Arabidopsis thaliana: one gene and its partner. The protein of the gene in region 1 interacts with the protein of each later gene in a pairwise test. Each region holds a gene or a part of one and is shown on either strand. Other genes may lie near its edges.

Evidence for each region. Proteins that work in one complex are often made in the same cells at the same time.
Region 2: the proteins of AT3G18360 (region 1) and WRKY20 interact in a two-hybrid assay, tested with the Arabidopsis thaliana proteins (one large-scale study listed by BioGRID).

The regions. Positions count from the first base shown.
Region 1 is NC_003074.8:6,300,072-6,303,457, reverse strand, and holds AT3G18360 (VQ motif-containing protein), read left to right. Parts: upstream 1-1,645; 5' UTR 1,646-1,773; coding exon 1,774-2,631; 3' UTR 2,632-2,838; downstream 2,839-3,386. Other genes in the region: AT3G18350 (heat-inducible transcription repressor (DUF639)), read right to left, coding at 2,958-3,188, 3,270-3,386. UniProt on the Arabidopsis thaliana protein: May function as negative regulator of plant defense.
Region 2 is NC_003075.7:13,436,455-13,442,755, forward strand, and holds WRKY20 (WRKY family transcription factor family protein), read right to left. Parts: upstream 4,543-6,301; 5' UTR 4,240-4,542; coding exon 4,012-4,239; exon of another isoform or gene 3,321-4,011; coding exon of another isoform or gene 3,309-3,320; exon of another isoform or gene 3,020-3,308; coding exon 2,864-3,019; exon of another isoform or gene 2,572-2,863; coding exon 2,067-2,571; intron 1,977-2,066; coding exon 1,820-1,976; intron 1,736-1,819; coding exon 1,580-1,735; intron 1,316-1,579; coding exon 844-1,315; 3' UTR 551-843; downstream 1-550. UniProt on the Arabidopsis thaliana protein: Transcription factor. Interacts specifically with the W box (5'-(T)TGAC[CT]-3'), a frequently occurring elicitor-responsive cis-acting element.

The DNA.
Region 1 (3,386 bases):
TCCTTCCCAATTGTCACCAGTTTCCTCAAGAGCAAACTGCATAAAGAGGGTTTTCATTTATCTCAGATGTGATCAAACAACAACTTACTCCTATTGTAGATGTTGGCTTGAGGCAATTCTCATGTCTGTTATCTCACCATTTGAGATTTCTCTATGTATTCCACCAGAACAACAGTGTCTTTGAAAGAATTTTCTGTTGTGCTCATTATCTGTCATACAACTTTACTTTGTCACCAAGAGGGCATTAAATTAGTTGAAACAAGTGAAATAGATCTCTCTACCTGCAAAGCCACTTCCAAACTCAGAGCCTTTTGTTTGCAGGCAACGACATACATGCTTTTGCCAGTTCAGTCTTCGAGTTTATTGAAAACAGGTGTACCAAAGCCCCTGCATATAAGTTTATTATTAATCAATAAGCAAGCAAAAGTCCGAACAATGAAGGTAATAACACACCACCAACAAAGTTCCCCTTTGTTCTTACATCAACAAATGCGGCTATCACCTTTTCAGCAAACTCGAGATCAGGACACCTGACGATATTAATTTCTATCTGGCACACAAGCAAGGTTGTTGCAAATGCAAATTTATCAAAAAACGACAAACGCTAAGAGAATGCACCAAAATGTGAAGGATATGTAAAGAGTTTCGAGTACATTGAAACAATTCAGGTGCAATCAGAAAACTTGCACACTTCAGTTCCTAAATATGCTCTAAAAATTTCTTGGCCAAAGCTCTAGGAGCCACTCTTTCAATGGTCTCTCTAGATGAAGACCTCCTGCCACTCATGAAGAAACAGAGAGACTTATTTTAAGATACTCTCGATTCAAGTACTAATCCTAACCATAATAAGCAATACACATATATAACGCTTTGAACAAAAGAATAGTCATTACCTGAAGTGATCTGACTATGTACTAATGTACATGTCTTAAGTTGCATCAATTATGTGAAGGCCTAAATGCAACAGACGATTTCATTGTAATCCTACAAATAAAGCACATCCATCGATTCACCAATGAAGTGAGAACCATATGCCACAAAACTATTAATCAAAAATCTGATAACTCCAAGTACTGCAAAAGAATGATTAATTATATGACCATTTCTTCTATAACTCCTAATCCGATATACATAAAGCTAATCAAGGATGATGCAAGTGAAATAACAAACGAAATCAGAGAAACTCATTGAAAGAAGTGAATCCGGTCGGGTTGATCCATAAAGGGGAATGAAAGAAGAAGAAGAAACCATTGTAAATTTCAAAATGTATTGATGGTGGTACGGTTTAATTGGTTCAGACTTCTAGATTACTGCGATTCAAATGTTTCAATCGGCAAAATCCATGTAATTCTTCGCGATTACAGTTACAGATATAACAGAACTAAACAGCAAAAAATGGAAATTAGTATGTGATAATCCATAATTATCTCAAGGAAATGATTTACCTCTAGAAGTTTAAACCTGGATTTTAGCAATCCTAGTGGCGATAATCTCTTAACTGCTTATCAGCCTCATAAACTAATTCACATGATATACTTACGTGGCACTAATAAGTGCTTACTTGGAACACTCACCAGATTACACGTGGCTCACTGTAACAGACTGAAGCTTATAAAAGGCAACACTCCTCTCCTCCCTATCTTCAAAATGGATCTCAATTTTGTCATTCTGTTTTACTTTCAATGAAAACTTACTTTTGGTTATACTTATGTATGATTCATTTATTCATTTAATTCAAAAACGTCACAATCCCTTTTTTTTATTACACATGAAATGAGCTCAACGTACAAGGACAACCATCCGTACCACCACCACCCTCACCATCACCATCACCATCCAAAGAGAGAACCCAATGAAAACAACTCCGGAATCTTATACACTCCCTCACCTTCACCGTCACCGCCAACTTTAAAAGTCAACAAAGACTCTCACGTTATTAAAAAACCACCGTCTCCGTCTTCTTTCTCCTCCGCGGCTAAGCCTCGTCACCCGGTGATCATTTACACACACACTCCAAGAATCATACACACTAATCCTAAAGATTTCATGGCTCTTGTTCAAAAACTCACCGGAATGACCCACTCCGACGAAGATCTCGGCGGTGGTAACGCAATGACCGATCCCGGGGTGGTAAAATCAATCAACCGAACCGTCTCTGAACCAACCGTCGACAGAAAAAACAACCGCAATCGCTGCGGCGGCGGTAATAATTACCTTAGAAACTACTCCGGTGCCGGAAACGGAAAGGGGATATTTTTTAATAACACGATGATAAGTGAAGATAGTGAATCGTCGTCGGTGATAACAACTGAGGAGAACATCGGAGAACATGGACAGGTTAATTCTTCTCTTCCGTATTCAGCGGTGGCTATTCCTCCACAGCCACCGCCTCATCCTCCTCCACCTCCGCCGCCACCGTCTATGTACGACGCTGCGGGGATAAACTACGGTGCTTATTTACCGACATTTCCGATTTTCCCGCCGGCGAATCCAGCTGATAATTTCTTATGCGGTAATCAACCGTTTGCGAATTTTGATGATCCGCTTTTCTTCGCGCCTAATATGAGAAGCTCTTTCTCTTCTTCTTCATCTTCTGGCTTCGATGGCTTGACGGAGTTTCGCGATTTTTAAGTTATCCGGCGTAAATTATTTCCGGTTTTGGAAAAATAATTTGTTTTTTCTTCATTGGAGGAGGTCTTCAAAGGGACTAATAATTTTTGAAATTAGTTAATAGTTATTTTTCCTTTAGTTAATTACTTTATATACTCGAAACAATTTTTCTGTGATCATCTTTTTTATTTCAAAAATTCATTATTTTTGTAAAATTTTATTGAATTCAAGAGTTGGCTCCCGAAATTAAGCTTAATACATACACAAACTGCATACATACATACATACATAAATGTATAGATTATAAGTATATATGTACGTCTGTGGCAACTATAGACGCTCTCCAATTAGTTCTTCTTCTTCTTATTGTTCTTGTCATGTAGAAGGACCACTGGAGCCGCTGGTATACTAAACCACCACTCTCTCAACCGCCTTATTAACCGTTCCGTGCTAGCTCTCCTTGGTGGCGAGTATCTTGTGAAAAGCTCAACAAATACAACCGAAAGCAAGTAGCGTCCCGGAACAAAGGCCATCATCGTCGCTGCGACCACAATCGCAATCGCAAACTTCTGGCTCGCCTGAAATAGCGGTTTCAAAACTGTGGTTAGACACAGCTTTAGGAGAAGCAGTTTGTGTTAAATATAAGAGGGAAGGCTGACCTGAGGGAAAAGCGAGAATAATAAAGCTCGGAACTTGAGAAGAACGATGTTTGCGTCTTGAATGTTCTGTTCGAGCTCCGAGATCCCGTTCTGGACTGCCAAAAGCTGTTCCATTGT
Region 2 (6,301 bases), on another chromosome or scaffold:
TCAATTTTTGCAAAAAAATTAACATGATAATCCGATTTTTACCTTTCCGCAAAAGATGAAAATGATTCACTGGTCCGGTGAAAAAAACAAGACTATTTTGACGACGATGATTATAAATGACTTATAATGTCATTAGTTTGATAGCGACAAAATTTTTATTTGCTTAACGGGTACTATGATCTAAAAGAATCTAATATGTTTGTCTTTAACAACAGTAAATGCTTCGGAAAAAAAAAAGTTCTAAATATGAAATTAGAGATTGTAACTTCCACCAAATAATCTAGATACATGTAAGAGAGAATAAGGTTACTGTTTTAATTGCCAATCTACTTCTTGCACAAATCTCTTAATTTTGTATAGAGACTGTATAGTATAACCTTCCAAATAATTGAACAAAGTTTAATATTGTCCCATGGTAAATCACCTAGTCGAAGTATTTATATCTCATTATTATGAGTTTTTGACAAATCTAGAAGTCTAGAACTAAAAGTTGAGAAACTATTATTGAAAAACGGGCAACAGTTGTAATTGTCTGCTTAAGGACCACGTAGCTTAAGTACCGTCGTGGTGTTTCTTTCATGGAGCATATCTAATTACGGTGAAGAAGAAATAGTTTGTAGTAATATTGCTGTTTCTTGTTTAAATAAAAGCATTAACATCTTGTTGTGTATTTTTACATAACATTTTTGGAACTCAATACAGGTGACACAAACAAATATATATGGTGGAGATAGTTTGAATCAAGATCAGCTCTCTGTGAAGAAATAGGAATTATATAGAACAAGGCCTCGTCCCATTCCTAACCTAAGAAGATCCCGTACATAATGTTGCTTACTTTTTGTTTTACGGACCCGATTGTACTCTCCCCATGTTGGGCGGATATGGGTAAGATGAATTGTTCAAGGACGAGATGTCACCATTTTGAGTCTCGTTCTTTGTTTCTCTCTGGCCGTACTGATTCATACCGCTATTTAAGCTAGCATAGTAGGATGACATGGGACTAGCATGAACAAACCTGAAATTGACTCCATTTGGGTGAGTTTGGTTGACAAGTTGTTGATTCTGGTGCTGATGTTCGTTGGAAGCGTGGTTAGGTCCATCAGATGAGATTCCAACACCAAGATTGAGGCTGATGGTGTCTGTTTCATCTGGTCTGAACCGAGGCTGGATTTCGTGATTGCTGCTAGACTTTGAAGTGGGAACATCATGATCGTGTTTGCCTTCGTATGTTGTTATTACAGCTTTTGGATCATGTGATGCTCTCTCCACGTGTTTTCTCACTGGGCATCCATGAGCTGTGCATTTGTAGTAGCTCCTACAAAAGGCCGAGGAACATCATGAAACATAATATCTCCATTGCGCACATGTTGAGTCTGTTAAGATCACTATCTTCCATATTCCAAACCAAATTCCTAAAAGAAGCAACACTTTATGCACATGTCAAATAACTAGGTCCTGAAGACAAGGACTAAACTGTTCTAGCTACCATTTTGAACTCGCAAGTTATGTTTATGTATGTTCATTCGAGAAAAAAGCAAGGAATTTTTTGGGGTGTTAAAAGCTTTAATGCTGTACAAACCTGGGATTTGGGTTCCCCCTTACGACTTTCTGCCCATATTTGCGCCATCTATAACCATCATCCAGAATGTCAACCTCACTCAGAGTTTGAACAACAACCCGAGGCTCCCGGATGGGTTTCACTAGTGGAGTTATTTCCATCGCACCCTCCATCCTCCTACATAAAGTTAAAATAAAGTTTTAATCATGTCAAATCACAGATTCAAATCAAGCACCTGAATCCTTTGTTAAACTCTAATACCTCCGTTTTGAGAATGGATCATCATCGTCCGGCTCATCTTTATTCCTATTTGACGCTGCCGCTTCTCCACCATCGTCAGATGCTGAGATAGGAGGTACTTCAGGGTTACCAGTTTGTTCATTGGGGTTAGACAAGTTGTAGACGCCAGATCCCTTCTCTGTATGCAGACATAAGAGTAGAAGGAAAAAGTTATAGATATTGCCAAGGGAGTAAGTGCATATTTGTCTCAAGTTTTAGTTATGATTACCATCTCGGCCAGTTGAAGAAGGATACTTGTCTAGCCTTTCTTCTTGTGCAGCCATACCACCAGAGTTTCGGCGACCAGGTTGAGGTTTAGGATGGTCATGTGTACCCTTGTATATAATATCGGTGATCTGCCCATCATGAGATCTTTCAAATAACTTTTTCACTTCACAATTAGGATGTGTACATTTATAATAGCTCCGGGGAAATTCACTCCCTTTGACATGCTTTTGACCATATTTTCTCCAGTTATAACCATCATCAGCCAAGATGGATGGAGTGCTTCCTCTGGAGTCATTTTGGGAAGTCTGGATTGATTCCTCTTGATCAGATCCAGCCGGAATATCTGAGCTCGTTGGTGTCATCTGACAAGGAGGAGTTGGCCGGCTTAGCTCACTTGAGGAACCTGCAGCATCACTGATCGAAGAAGGTGAGTGTGAGGATCCATGGCCCTGGCCTTGAAAATGTACTGGTGGCTCACTTCTAATCTTGCCAAGCTCTGCATATACCTTGAAATCAATAAAGATGTTTAGACAAAGTCATCCCCCAACAATATACAAGTAACTTATAAACTGTGAGCTTTTGGATACAAGGCTCCTTATGAAACAATTTAAGGCTGGCATGGTATTATATGTATGCAAAGGCGAAAGATTTTGAGATTTACAAGCAATCCAAGCGCTGAATAAATAGACTTCGTGCAGAAAAATTAGGTCAGCCACTGTTCGGGGTTCATATGTCGTCGACTATCTGAACAGTACATTACATGCAAAGCATAACAAACAGCATTGTTTTGGACAATACCATATTTGATGCAGGAGGTCTGAACTCAAATTCACTGGACTTCTGCTCAGTAAAGGTGTTCTGATGGAACCCCCTGCCTGTATAAGAACTTGAGCTAGCAGAAATGTGCACTGGTCGAGGCTTGAACAAAGAACCAGTAGTAGGGGAAGGTTCTGGCTGAAAGTTAAAGAAAGTGGCATATTATTAATGGCATGAATAAAACAATACATATCAGATTTTGTAAAACATGAACCTGATCTATCAATAAACATGATGTTTTAAAAAAAACAGTCTTCTAAAAACAAAAACAATATCTTGTTCAATCAAGGGATAAGAAGATATAACTAAGAGATGCAAAATAAAATTGAGCACATAGCATATAACCTATTATTCATAACTTAATTGAACAAAACGAATACTCTATAGATCTAAATGGTGAACATGCGAGTAAAGTACATTTTCTCACCAACAGAATCATTCAATAGCTCATATAAGTAAAAGGAATCCCCACACAGACGCAGCTAACCGAAACCTAAATGTACAAAGAATGGAAAAAGAAAAGAGAAGCACCAAACACATGGAAGATAGACACTAGACAGTATGAAGAAGAAACGACAAAGAGCAAGAGGATATAAATAAAGTATCCAGCACCAATAGAACATGATAAAAAAAAAAGGTTTATTCGAAAGAACAATCTGAACGGACACAAATGCAAACCAATGCAGAGTATAGTAGCACAAAGAATCAGAATCTTGGCCAAAGTCCCTAACGTAAGCAAACAAATCATAGTTTTTTAATCACTTGTAATGGACTAAGAAACAAAAATGGAAACCCAAGTCCAATGTTTTTCCTAGTGAGCAAGCAGAGAGCATCTCCACCAAATTACCAGAAATTCCCCACTAACATGAACAGTGATCCAAATCGAAATTGAAGCAACGAGAAACCGAACAAGTGGGACAAAATGTCAATGTTATGAATCAATTCCAATTCCAAACTCAGTTTCAAAATGGCACAATCCAATTTCATGAAAAATCCTTTAGGTCTTAAAAATATGAAATCAGAAAACCTAATTTCTCAAATCGACAACAAAAATGAGGTGAAACTGTGATTGCATTTACCAAAATCGAAGAAGAAGAAGAAGAAAGAGATAGTAAAGTAGCTGCTTAAACCTTGATGTTGGAGATGAAAACAGGAGATTCCAAAAACGAAGTCGGACTCAACCCAGGAGGAATCGTGATATCAGTCGACCTCGAGATCGGAAGCTTGGCCGGTGACATCAGCTTATACCTAGCACCTCCACCTCCGTTTCCTCCAGCTGAATCGTGCTTTGCCGTGAGATCTCCCGTCGCCGAACAATCTCCCTGAAACTCCTTCCGGTCATTAGCTTGAGGGTTCATTTCAGAGATTCGCAAGGGTAGAACAAAAATGAAGGAAAAAAGAAGCTAAGGGAAAGTAGAAGAAGCTCTCAGCTATGGCGAAATGAGAGAGATTTTGGTCTCTGCGTTAGTGAAGATTGTAGTGAAAGATGAAAGAACGATATTGACTTCACACCTCTCTTAATTCTTTGTTTTTCCTTTTCATTTTTTTAATAATTTATTTTCTTCTTCTTCTTTTTCTCCTTTATTTAGCTTTATCAATTTCTAAAGCAACAACAACAAACGTTAAAGTTGACAAAAACAATTAGAAGATGTAAACAATCCTCTTTTTTTTTCTCATGTACATTTGTCAAAATGTAAAAGATAAAAAAGTTAGTGTAATCAAAATTGCTTGTTTAAAGAGTTGTTGGAACCAGAAACATCCTAAATCTCAAAGTAAGAGTGTTGTAGCATTGGTAGATTGACACAGTCAGAAGCAGTATTGTTGATGATAATTAAGGATCAGGTATCAACAGTCTCAGGTCTTTTAAAACTTACCTTTTTGAATCTTTTGTGCGCCAATGATCCGTTGCTTCGACTCTCGTCTATCTTATCTTCTGCGATGTTTATCAATAGTTCAATACCGACGCTGAAATAAATGTATTTGCTGATTTGTAACAAGTTTCTATTGTGATGAGGCCAAATATCAATCGCATCATCGACAATTACCACTCTACGCTCATCAACAGCAAGAAGATCGAGTGTCTTCTCATAAGGACTTTGTTCTCTGGCTAGGACTCGATCTCCAAAGTATATTTTTTTCCGGATCAATCCACTTCAACACGGTCTGAGCGTAACTAGAATCACCCATTGTGTATACGTGCATGATGAAACGCTTGTTGGCTTCTAATAGAAATTCATGAAGAAAAGGTCGTAGCTTTATCATATATTCGCTGGGAGTGGATCTCTGTTGATTCTCCACAGATCTGACCTTGAATCAGCTCCTTCGATTAGATACTTCTGCTCTTCGGAAAGGTCCGAAACAAGTACCGAGTGGACAAGCGTGTGGTCCAAGTCAAGGACTAGGTGAAACTTCTTCTTCTTATCATCGTTGAGACAGGCCATTTTTTTCTTGTTTTGGATTTTGGTTGCAGAGTATGATTGTTGGCTCCAAACAAGTGAAACTCTGTAATCGAAAGAGAAACCCTAATTTGATCGGTGATAATGAAATTGATATGCTATGATTATGTATTATATAGAGAGGATATGTGTGAGATATCTTTGGGCCGTTCTCAGTTTCTTTCATTGGTTTAAATGGGCCTAGGCCCTTGAGTCAAATTACCTACCAAATTATGTGGGAGTTGAATCGAATTTTTTTTGTTAAAAATTTAAGCTATTGGTTTATCTTGTGGGGTAGCGGTTGTGTTCTATTTGCGTGGATAACAGTTAGGATATATAATGGTGAGTGGTGACATTCTGGATCCAAGTTGGTCCACCTCAAATCTTGTTAGAGAATTTTTCAAAAAAAAAAAAAAACATGTTTCTTTGGTTGTAAAACTTCCAAAATGTGTAAAAGATAAGAAGAATATGTGTATATATCTCTCAATACTGTTCAATGCCGTTTCAGAATAAAACTATGTAATTCTTTTCTAAACCAACAATTGTTTTACTTGTATTTTAAATAATTATCAATCCATGTTTTGATAAAAACTGATAATTCGAAAGTGGGTAACTCGGTAAAATGATAAAGCAACAGAAAATATATCATAACTATTCAAAAATATGTGACTAGTGAAGATTTTAGATAGTAATTTTTTCTTGGTGCAACACTCATATCATATACATAGTCTTGTCATTTTTACATATTAAATTTAATGTCTAGATTAACAGAAGAAATAAGGAAAAACTCGATAACTGTTTTTTTTTGGTAATTAAAAAACTCTAAGAAAATCTAGAAACGGAAAAGTTTGCATGAAAATTTCCAAAGTTCAAAAAGGTGTTGTCCCCTTCACATAACCACACCATCATCATAATTTTGATCAAACATTTGACCAAGAAAAAGGGGTGGTTTCACTATTTTAGTTTGGTGTACTTAAGATTTTGA